Linked DNA regions of Coturnix japonica. The protein of the gene in region 3 purifies or fractionates together with the protein of the main gene of each other region. This does not show direct contact. Links are inferred from orthologs where the notes say so. Each region holds a gene or a part of one and is shown on either strand. Other genes may lie near its edges. The genes, in order: SQSTM1, MIOS and SESN2.

Region 1 (2,188 bases), on a different chromosome or scaffold from region 3:
TAGAACCGTGCTTTCAAAAATCTAATGGTTTTTTCTTGGTCTCAAATGTATTCCCAGGTATTGAAGTTGATATTGATGTGGAACACGGAGGACAGAGAAGCAAAGTGACTCCTGCTTCTAATCAAGAGAATAACGGTGCCGAGTCAAGCAGCAGTACTGCTAATCAGAACAGTCAGAGCAAACCATGCTGGAATAGCACAGATTCTGCAACGGTAGTAAACAATGTTACAGAGCAGATACAAGACATGGTGATAGATCCTGTGCCCACACAAATGGAAGATGGCAGCCTCCAGTCCCAGGTACAAGAAACACTGCATTAATTTAATACGCTTGCTGAGGCCTTACTGAAAAGGAAATAATTCAGTATGTGTTGAGGGACTGATGATTCAGTTGTCAGCAGATAGAGAATATATGGCACTTTGCTTTACTGGTTTACAGCAAAGGTGGGACTTGTTGTAAATGTAATTCTTCCTATTAAAAGCAGATAGTAAGAGCATGCATCCTACCTGGAAAGCACTACGGCACCTGGACCTCCTTTCTTTCCATTTCAGGCACACAGTGAGTCAAGCAGTTCATCAGGGGGTGACGAGGACTGGACCCACTTGTCTTCCAAAGAAGTGGATCCTTCCACAGGTGAACTGCAGTCTCTACAAATGCCAGAGACAGATGATCCCAGCTCCCTAGATGTAGCTCAGGAAGCTCCCCAGGCAGGACCTACAGGGCTGAGAGAGGCTGCACTCTACCCACATCTCCCACCAGGTACGAGAATGCATGCAGGTTGCACGTGAGTTAAAGTTGCTCTCACTTATTGCCAACTTGTCCAATATAAGCAAACCTGCTTAGGAACCAAGCTCACATACAGACAAGTTAAACTGTAACTTGTGCTCTGGCAGCACTCTGCATGCTGTTAGGAACAGGCATGTTCTCTGCTTGAATGGTGGCAGCAAGTCTTAAACTGGTACTAATATGCCATTTGAGCAGGATGAGAGAGGTGGCCTCTAATCAGTGTCCTTGCTGTGTACTCTTGGAGAGCCTTTTAATGCAGGCTGTAGACAATACATCCTGTAACTTAAGACACTTTTCTGGCAAGAGCTAGTTAGGAGTCTGCCAGGTCACTTAACTGAAACCACTGGCAATGAGGTTTACAGCAAGGACAGATGGATCTAACTCAGCTGCTTCCTTAGCAGGTTACATATGCTGTATCTCAAAATGTCTGCCTCATAGGATACAGAGGAAAGTGTCTTCCAGCGCTTGTCAGCTATGCTAGATCTGCTAGGATTAGTGCCAGCCCACCATGTGATACCACAGCCTTGGCTGGTTTGCTAATAATGTGAAGCGTTTTAACTTCAAACTCATTCTCTTGACAGAAGCAGACCCTCGCTTGATTGAGTCTCTGTCCCAGATGCTCTCCATGGGCTTCTCTGACGAGGGTGGATGGCTCACTCGACTCCTGCAGACAAAGAACTGTGACATCGGGGCAGCGCTAGATGCCATCCAGTATTCCAAGCAGCCTCCTAACTTGTAGTAGCCTATGTAACAAAAACCAGTTTCCTTCTAACTAAAAGAAAACTATGTGGTACAGTTAACTCTAGCAAATGCATCTTCTGTTACAGGTTTCTGTTTCATGTTCCTAAGTGCTTGTAGTGTGGAGAAAAAAATAAATACTGCCACTCTTTCACTGGTGATGAGTTTGTGGCTGTTTAATAATCATAACTGTTCTACTCTGTTAACTGGAACTTGATTATAAGTTAGGAGAAGATCCAGGCCAAGAGCACATGATTTCTATGTCAGGTGGTTCTCAGTGTAAAAGTAAGGCTAGCTCTGTGCCAGTCTGTTTCTTGCACATAACCTGGGCTCTGAGCAGACACCTCGGGGTTATTCATTTGTGAAGAGCAATCAAATGCTTGGCTCTGAAGCCTGCACCGTAGCTTTGAAAGAAAGAGTTGCTATGGGTGATGCAAACAAAGAGCTAGAACAAGGGAAAAGAGTTGCAGTTTATAGTGGGGAATTAATCACAGAACTTAACTGTACTGGTAAGATATTCTTAAAGCCTTGGAGGCATCCCTGCTCCCTCCCATCTGACCTACTTCCATTCTTACTTCTAATGTACTTGCTAGACACCACTGTGCAAACATAGCACTTGCTTCTTGGATCAGTCTTTCCCAACAAGACACAGCTAGATTGCCTT
Region 2 (3,655 bases), on a different chromosome or scaffold from region 3:
ACACCAAGTAAACCAGTTGTTGAACTGGGCTAACTTCTTGTCTTTGCTAAGATCCACTTTTTCATCTGACTTGGATCCTCCTGCACAGAAGCAAGCCCAGCACAACAGACAAATGAAACATAATACCTTGTATTTCAGCCTCACTAACACTATTAGAGTGAATTTGGAATTAGGAACTTCAGGTGAAAAAGCAGCCTGATTTTAAAAGAGATGTCAACACAATTATTGAAGATGTAAGAACTGGTGGAGAATCAAGAACATATTGCTTGGCTAATGTTTCACACCTTACGGACATGCTAATCTTGCCTATTAAATTTTGCAGACAGAATCTCTTCCAGTGGTGATTTATGTTTTGGTGATTAATTTGTGTTCCAGTGAATTATGCACCTGTTCATGGAATGTTCTGCTTTAAAACATGTAAGATTAGCAAAATCTCAGTTATGAATTGGAATAATTCAGTAACAACTCATAACACTGACCAGTGAAAGAATGAGAGAGATATAAATGGATGACAACTGTACAGACGCTCATAGCTCTTTAACAAGACTGACCTAAAAATATGGAAAAAATTAATTTTACTTAGACCTTGGATGAGTCCAAGACATTCAGAACCAAGAGATTCTAGGAATAGTATCTCTTAACTGTGCCAGCGGGACCCATACGTTCTTTCATATTTAGTCACAGAGAGAATATATACTACACTACATTTATTTCCTCTTCCAGTTAAAGAGCAATTAATTTACATTACAAGATTTCTGCAGCCTCCCAACAGTTCATTCCAAGAAAACACATCTCTCAGTTCTTACATTGTCAAAGCTCATAATACCAAACACCACAATATCCAAATCTTTTCTTCTGTTTAAACTATGGAGATATAATGATCTCGCTGGAAAAAAAAGGCCAGAATGAGGTAACTGTGCATACAGTCTGACACAAAAAAAAAAAAGACATAGGTTTAATCAAAATATTGGATGGGATGTAAATGTGTTCTCTACTACAGTCTATTTAAATATTAGTATTTACAGTATGAGTACAAACAGGAGGAAAAGGTGCAACAGATCATGTTCTTTAGCTTCTAATGAGGACTCCAGCTGAACAACTTAAAACAAGTATGTAGTACCTGGACAACTGGAAACTGGAGTTCCCATATTTATCAAGCAAAGTGCACAGCGAGGAAGTGGCTTACGACAACCAGGGCAGCTGGTAACTTTGGACTTAGTTGGTGAGCCGCTAACCCCATATTGGCTGAAACCTCGTCCCTGATGAGGAATGGCTGAACAGCTGTAAGAGATCGATTTTCCACAGAAATTGCAGCTCACAAACACCTAAAGAGAACAAAAGCCCATTAATTTTTCAGTTTGTTTCCATTTCTTCTACAATTACAAGTAAATTTGCTCCAGCTAGCAAAGACTCAATTGATGAGACATTCTAAAAACTAAGCTGGAAAGTCTTGTGAAGGTGCTGCAAACGTCTTGGCTTATAGACTTGATATGCACTTCTGAGAAGTAGGCCTCAATGATGCCCATGTAATTCATAAAACCATGTGAAACTATTACTGTTGGGAGAGATATTATTTAAGAATATAACAATTTATATGTCAGGCAATTTAAGAAATTCAGTTTACTCAGTTTACAGGCCTTTCCCTCTTTCTACTCAAGTGACTCACTCTAGAGCCCCCAACATGAGGATAAGCCAACTAATCTTCACCTGTATACCTTATGCCACAAGTTGAGGCATAATACAGAGAAAAGCAATACTTTGAGCTCTTCAGGAATTACTTATGTTGCTCATGTAAGGCACGAACAGTAAATTCAACTCCTTCTCACTTGGAGCAGAATACATGGAGTTGTCTTAAAAAAGCTGTGAAGAATACGTGCATCAAAAAACAGCCTTCCTTAGAAATCCTTGCATCCCCAATGTTTGTAATGCACATATTAGCAGGCATGAGCAAGTAGGAGTTGCTGTGGGTGGAACATTTTGAGTAAGAACAGTACCAGATAATATTTGGATAGGGTGTCAGTTTTCAGTTTAGCTTATGCTCTAACTGATAAGGAAAACTGCTGTTCACTTCAGACTCAAAGGCTTCAAAGGCTCAGTTAAACTAAAAGCCAATTTGAACCATTTCTTGGCTCCATCTCTTAGTTTCAGCACCATCCTCATCATGATGAAGAACTCACTAGGGTAAGTTTCTGATTTTGTTTTTCAACACTGGAAGAAAAAAAAAAATCCACAGATACACCAGAAAAAGCGTGGAAACATTACAGATTCCAGAAGATGAGTTTTTGTTAGAAGGAAAGGCTTAGGAAAAATAATGATTGGATGAAATGGCACTTCCTAGATTAGAATTCATGTAAACTTGTTCACTTCCTTACCCCCTACCAAAACAGTTAAGTCCTTTTTCTGAGTAATATTTTTGAATATATTAATAACAAAAACAACCAAGCAACAACAACAACAAATAAAACAACAAAACATTGATTTGAAATCTTTCTTTTCCTCACAAAAGCCAAGATGCACCCAGCAGTTTCATTTATTTATTTCTATTTAAGTACCACGTTGCCTTTCTGGATTGGTCATACTTCATGTAAGAATGATACTTACCTGAGCTAAAGGTTTTGAACTGGGATCCAGCTTACTTCTGTGGATATCAAACTCTGCACGTTTATGCCAAAACCTCCAAGCATCTAAAAGATTCCTATAGTTCTCAATCCAGTACTGAACCCTCTCATCTTTAAGTACTTCTGAAGGAGAACCCTAAAGAGAAAGGAAAAAAATGCCAGACATAACACTGAACACACACAACACAAGTTATTCACTTTTTCAAAAGGCTTTACTAGTACATAATACAAAATATGATACATAATAGCAAAATTTGCACAGAGAAAGATGATATTTGGAAACACTTAACACAAGATTGATAAAAGTTTTCTTCAGTTTGCCCTTCAGGTTGAGAATGCTCCTGCTGCTGATCTCCTAAAAACTGGGATTATTCATTTCTGTAGCACACCTGAGTTCATATCATTACTGTGGTTACATCCATAGTCAAACACAGCACAGGTAGTAACTCCAGCTGTTCCATTAAGGACCACGATAAGATAAGCTCAAAACAATAAATAAAAGCAACATCCACCCAAAGACAAAAAAAACCCTCCACCTTATAGCATTTCTCTAAAAAAACCCTGGAAGCAAAAAAGCCTATTTTGGACCTATCAGAAAATGCTGAAGTAGTTCAACTATTCAACTGTTCGGCTATTTTTTCTGTCTTCCCCTTGTCTTCACTTTCTCTGACTGAGACAGCTTGAATATAGAAGTTTGTAGTTATCACAAAGTGTTTCAGATGATTGCACAAAACAGGCAGGCTATATATTGTCAAAATTTACTACTGAATATACTTCTCAGTTCACAAGAATCAACTGCTAAACAAACTATGTAAAGATTCATTTTTGAGTGAGAAACTAACCTGTAACATGCAATAGCTTGCTGTCTGGACATCACCAGTTCTGTCAACATAACTTTCCATCAAGTCCACACCATCTTTTGTCAGCCCTGTCAACAATATTCCTTCCAAATTCCCAGCATCTTTCATTTCATTCGTCAGCTTCTCAATAAATCTGTTCAGCTATAAAAATAAAAAATAAAAGTAGTTCTGCTGTTT
Region 3 (3,780 bases):
CAATGCAGGCTGTGCAGCAATGCAGGTTGTACAGCGATGCAGGTTGTGCAGCGATGCAGGTATTGCAGCAATGCAGGCTGTGCAGCTCCTCTGTCCTCCTCCACCGAGTGTCGCTGCCGGCCCAGCAAAGCCCCGATCCCCCATTGGGAGCAGCGCAGCCCCCATGGCGACCCCCCCCCCTCAACCACCCCCTAGTGCCTGCAGCTCCGATCCCTCACGACCCCCCCCCCTCCCCCTTCAGGACCCCCGTTCCCATCCCCCTTTGGGACCCCCATTACTCCCTCCATTGCCCCAGCAACACGCACCCCCACCACACACTTCAGCCCCCCCCCCTTGCAGGGCACCCCCTGCACCCACAGACCTCGTGCAGCTGCTCATTGCCCCCCCCCCCCACACCGTCCCATCTCTTATCTGCAGCTCCCAGGTGCCGCTGGGTGCTGATAAGCACCTGGTGCTGCTGCACGCTGCCCCCCACCCCATATCACAGCATGTTGGGGGGGGGGGGGGAAGGTAAAAGAACAACACTCAGACACCCCATAATAATAAAAAAAGAATGTATTCCCTCCTTCACATGAAGGCTGCAGACTCCAGGCCCACATAGGAGTCCAAACAACAACCAGAAATAAGTTAAAGTGGAGCTGTGATGCAGCAGAAACAAACCTGGGGGGTGGTGGGGGTCCCCATGGCTCCCCCAGTGACCAGCACTGAGGGGAAAGGCACATGGGGTGTGGGATGGGAGGGGGGGGGTTGAGCATGGGCACCCCATATCCCAGCCCAGCAGTGCTCCAATGGACCCCCCCCCACGGCAGTGTGCTGTGCAATAAAGTGCAGCAGGGGATGGGGGGGTGTTGGGGGTCCCTTGTGCTGCAGGGGGGGCAGCTGCCCTCCTAACAGCCCCCCCCAGCTTTGGAGTGATGGGCAGCGATAGGAGAAGTGCTGCCCTGGCACTGAGCTCCACAGCCACAAAGGGACCTGAGGGAGGGGGGGGGATGGCACAGGATGCAACACAGACCTTCAGTGGCACAGAGCAGGCAGGGGGCACATGGGGGGGTCAGAAAGGCAGTGCAGGTGCTGCAGCCCCCACCCTAATCCCTACCCAGGGCTCAAGGCACTTCCAGTCCCCAATTGCAGGGGGGTACAAAGGGGGCACCAACACCTCTGTGCCCCTCAGCCCCCTATAGGATGACAAACATGATGGGGCTGTGGGGGGGGGGGCACAGCAGCATCATTGCTAAGGGCACCCCAGGGAAAGGGGCTCAGCTCCACGGGGCTCCCCCCCAACACAAGGCACACAACAGCCCCGTTTCCAGCCACCCCACAGGGGCACATGGGGGGCACTCAGAGACCCCCCCACCCCAGGATAAGAGGCACAGATACCCCCATCTCCCCCCCATATCTCTACATCCATAAGGCAGGAGGTGACATCCCAACACAGTCCAGCTCCCCACTGCTCCCAGCCCCCCCCACAGAACAGGAGGAGGATGGGGGGGAGCAGGGGGCTGTCAGGTCATGTAGCGTGTGACAGCGCGCAGTGCATACAGCAGGGCAGCCTGCAGCCGGGCCTCCAGCAGCAGCAGGTTGACGTGGACCTATAGCAGGACAACAGGGTCAGGGCATGGTGAGGGGGGGGCTCAGCCCCAAAGGAGAGGGGAAATAATGAAGGGAAATGGGGAAATGAAGGGGGAAATGAAGGGAAAAGCACCTTTTCGGAGTGTTTGAAGTGCCTCCAGAACTGCGCGTACATCCTCTTGGTTGTCTTCTCTGGGTAACAGGCCACTGTCTTGATGTAAACCTTCAGGCTGCGCTCCAGCAGCTGGTTCACCTCCCCATAGTCATAGTCGTCATAGCTGGGGGGTGATGAAGCGAACACATCAGCCCTATGCCACAAGCCCATTGGGGCACCCATACCCAGACCCACATCCCTTTAGCTGGACCCAGGGGATGGGGGAGCACAGGGGGGACCCACCGGATGCCGAAGACGCAGTGCACGTAGTTCCAGATGGCGCGGCGCAGCATGGAGGTGTCGACGCCGCAGTGCATCGCGATGGTGTTGTACGTCAGGTTATAAACCACCTGGAACTTCTCGTCCAGCAGCTGCCCCACGTCGGGGTACAGCCGGTTAATGAGGGAGAAGCCGTGGTCCTCCCATGTGTAATCCTATGAGGGGTGGGGAAGATGGTCACCCCTCCATCACAACTCTATCACCTACCAGTGCTGCTGCTTTGGCTCCATCCCAGCCCCTGTTGTTGGTGCTGGGGGGGGAGTGGGACCCACCTGAGCACGGAAGGTGGGGGGCGCCTGCTCTCCTCGCCGTGTAAAGTCCTTATAGCCGAACTCAGGGTCCTCCACGAAGCACAGCAAGCCGGACTGCAGGGCATGGTCTGTCACATCTGCAAGGCACAACTGTGAGCACCACCCCACGGCCCAGCAATGGGGGCCAACAGCCCCTTTATGGACACAACCCCCTTCTTACCCGATGGGGCCACCAACAAACTCTCAGTCTTCTCCATCTCGAAGCGCGTCGCCATCTCCTCCTGTGTGACGCCCTCCTCCTCCCTCTGACTGTCCCGCAGCAGCTGCATCCGCTCCATCAGCGCCTCCACCTCCCGCACAGCATCCCTGCCCTGCACAAAGGGGGCAGGCTCAGTGCTGCACCCCCAATAAACCCCCATACAAGGGGCCACACTCCATCCCTTGGGTGTTATAGGGAGACCCCAGCAGGACGGCACCCCCCAGCTCTTACCCCTGAGCACCCCGTGTTGTCCTCAGCTGTGGGGCTGCTGTCGCTGTGGGGTGAGGGGGGTCTGCAGCCCTGCCCCCCATCCTGCCCTGCCTCGGGGTTGATGCCGCAGCCGAACACGAAGGAGGCGAGAGAATGGTAATGGGTGAGCAGCACCAGCGCCTGCACCAGCTCTGCCAGCGACCAGCTGTGCTCCCCTGTCTTCAGCAGTGCCTGCAGGGGGGAGATGGGGGGGGACAACAGCATCAGGCCCTGAGCCCCATACATACATCACATGCTCCCAGCCACCGCTCCTTCCCCATCCACCCACCCGACTTATGGTCCCCAAAGGGTTAAATCCAGGCAGCGATGTGGCCCCCAGGACCACCAACCCCCCTTCAAACCCCCCTATTGGGGTGTCCCACCTCAATGTGCTCCTTGGTGATGAGCCAGGGCCGATGTGCCAGCAGCTTGTTGATCTCATTCAGGTTCCTGAGCTTCTGTGGGGCGCAGTGCAGCCCCTGCAGCCATGCCGGGTTGCCCCCCGCCTGCAGGAACTCCCCCATGTGCAGCCCCACCAGGTAGGTGCATTGATGCCGGGCTGCAGCCTGTGGGGGATCAGCTGGGTCAGCCCCAACCCCAATACGAGCCTTTGGAGAAGCCACACAGGGACCCCCCCCTCCCCATCACCACCCAGAGGGGTTTCCCTTGGGGCAGCGCTCAGCCAAGGGGGGCTCTGCATCCCAACATCAACCCCCAGGCTGTAAAGGGTGTTGGGTACCCCATAAATGACCCCAAAGTGGTGTTTAGGGGATGGCATCGCCCACTCCTGGGGGTCCCCCGCTCACCATGATGGCGATGTAGTGGCGTTTGTGGTAGGGGAGGGGTCCGTCCATGCGCAGCAGGAGATACTGAGTCTTCCAGAAGCTGCTCAGGTACTGGGGGTGCAGCCCCATCACCATCGTGATGTTGTCCACGCAACCAGCGGACACGAAGGCTTCGATCAGCAGCTGCCGCCGGCTGCTCTCAATGCCGTCCTGCAGGATCTGCAGCCCACAGCC

The links.
Region 1: the proteins of SESN2 (region 3) and SQSTM1 purify together in Homo sapiens (affinity purification with western blotting; 3 studies listed by BioGRID and IntAct, with this or other methods). This does not show direct contact. The link is inferred for Coturnix japonica from reciprocal best matches to the Homo sapiens genes SESN2 and SQSTM1.
Region 2: the proteins of SESN2 (region 3) and MIOS purify together in Homo sapiens (affinity purification with western blotting; 5 studies listed by BioGRID and IntAct, with this or other methods). This does not show direct contact. The link is inferred for Coturnix japonica from reciprocal best matches to the Homo sapiens genes SESN2 and MIOS.

The regions. Positions count from the first base shown.
Region 1 is NC_029528.1:4,620,716-4,622,903, forward strand, and holds the end of SQSTM1 (sequestosome-1), read left to right. Parts: intron 1-57; coding exon 58-299; intron 300-551; coding exon 552-759; intron 760-1,367; coding exon 1,368-1,525; 3' UTR 1,526-1,678; downstream 1,679-2,188. UniProt on the Homo sapiens protein: Molecular adapter required for selective macroautophagy (aggrephagy) by acting as a bridge between polyubiquitinated proteins and autophagosomes.
Region 2 is NC_029517.1:22,623,331-22,626,985, reverse strand, and holds part of MIOS (GATOR complex protein MIOS), read right to left. Parts: intron 3,620-3,655; coding exon 3,461-3,619; intron 2,755-3,460; coding exon 2,602-2,754; intron 1,326-2,601; coding exon 1,121-1,325; intron 81-1,120; coding exon 1-80. UniProt on the Homo sapiens protein: As a component of the GATOR2 complex, functions as an activator of the amino acid-sensing branch of the mTORC1 signaling pathway. The GATOR2 complex indirectly activates mTORC1 through the inhibition of the GATOR1 subcomplex.
Region 3 is NC_029538.1:1,893,047-1,896,826, reverse strand, and holds the end of SESN2 (sestrin-2), read right to left. Parts: intron 3,766-3,780; coding exon 3,568-3,765; intron 3,328-3,567; coding exon 3,145-3,327; intron 2,954-3,144; coding exon 2,744-2,953; intron 2,625-2,743; coding exon 2,474-2,624; intron 2,391-2,473; coding exon 2,275-2,390; intron 2,158-2,274; coding exon 1,967-2,157; intron 1,848-1,966; coding exon 1,703-1,847; intron 1,590-1,702; coding exon 1,503-1,589; 3' UTR 538-1,502; downstream 1-537. UniProt on the Homo sapiens protein: Functions as an intracellular leucine sensor that negatively regulates the mTORC1 signaling pathway through the GATOR complex. In absence of leucine, binds the GATOR subcomplex GATOR2 and prevents mTORC1 signaling.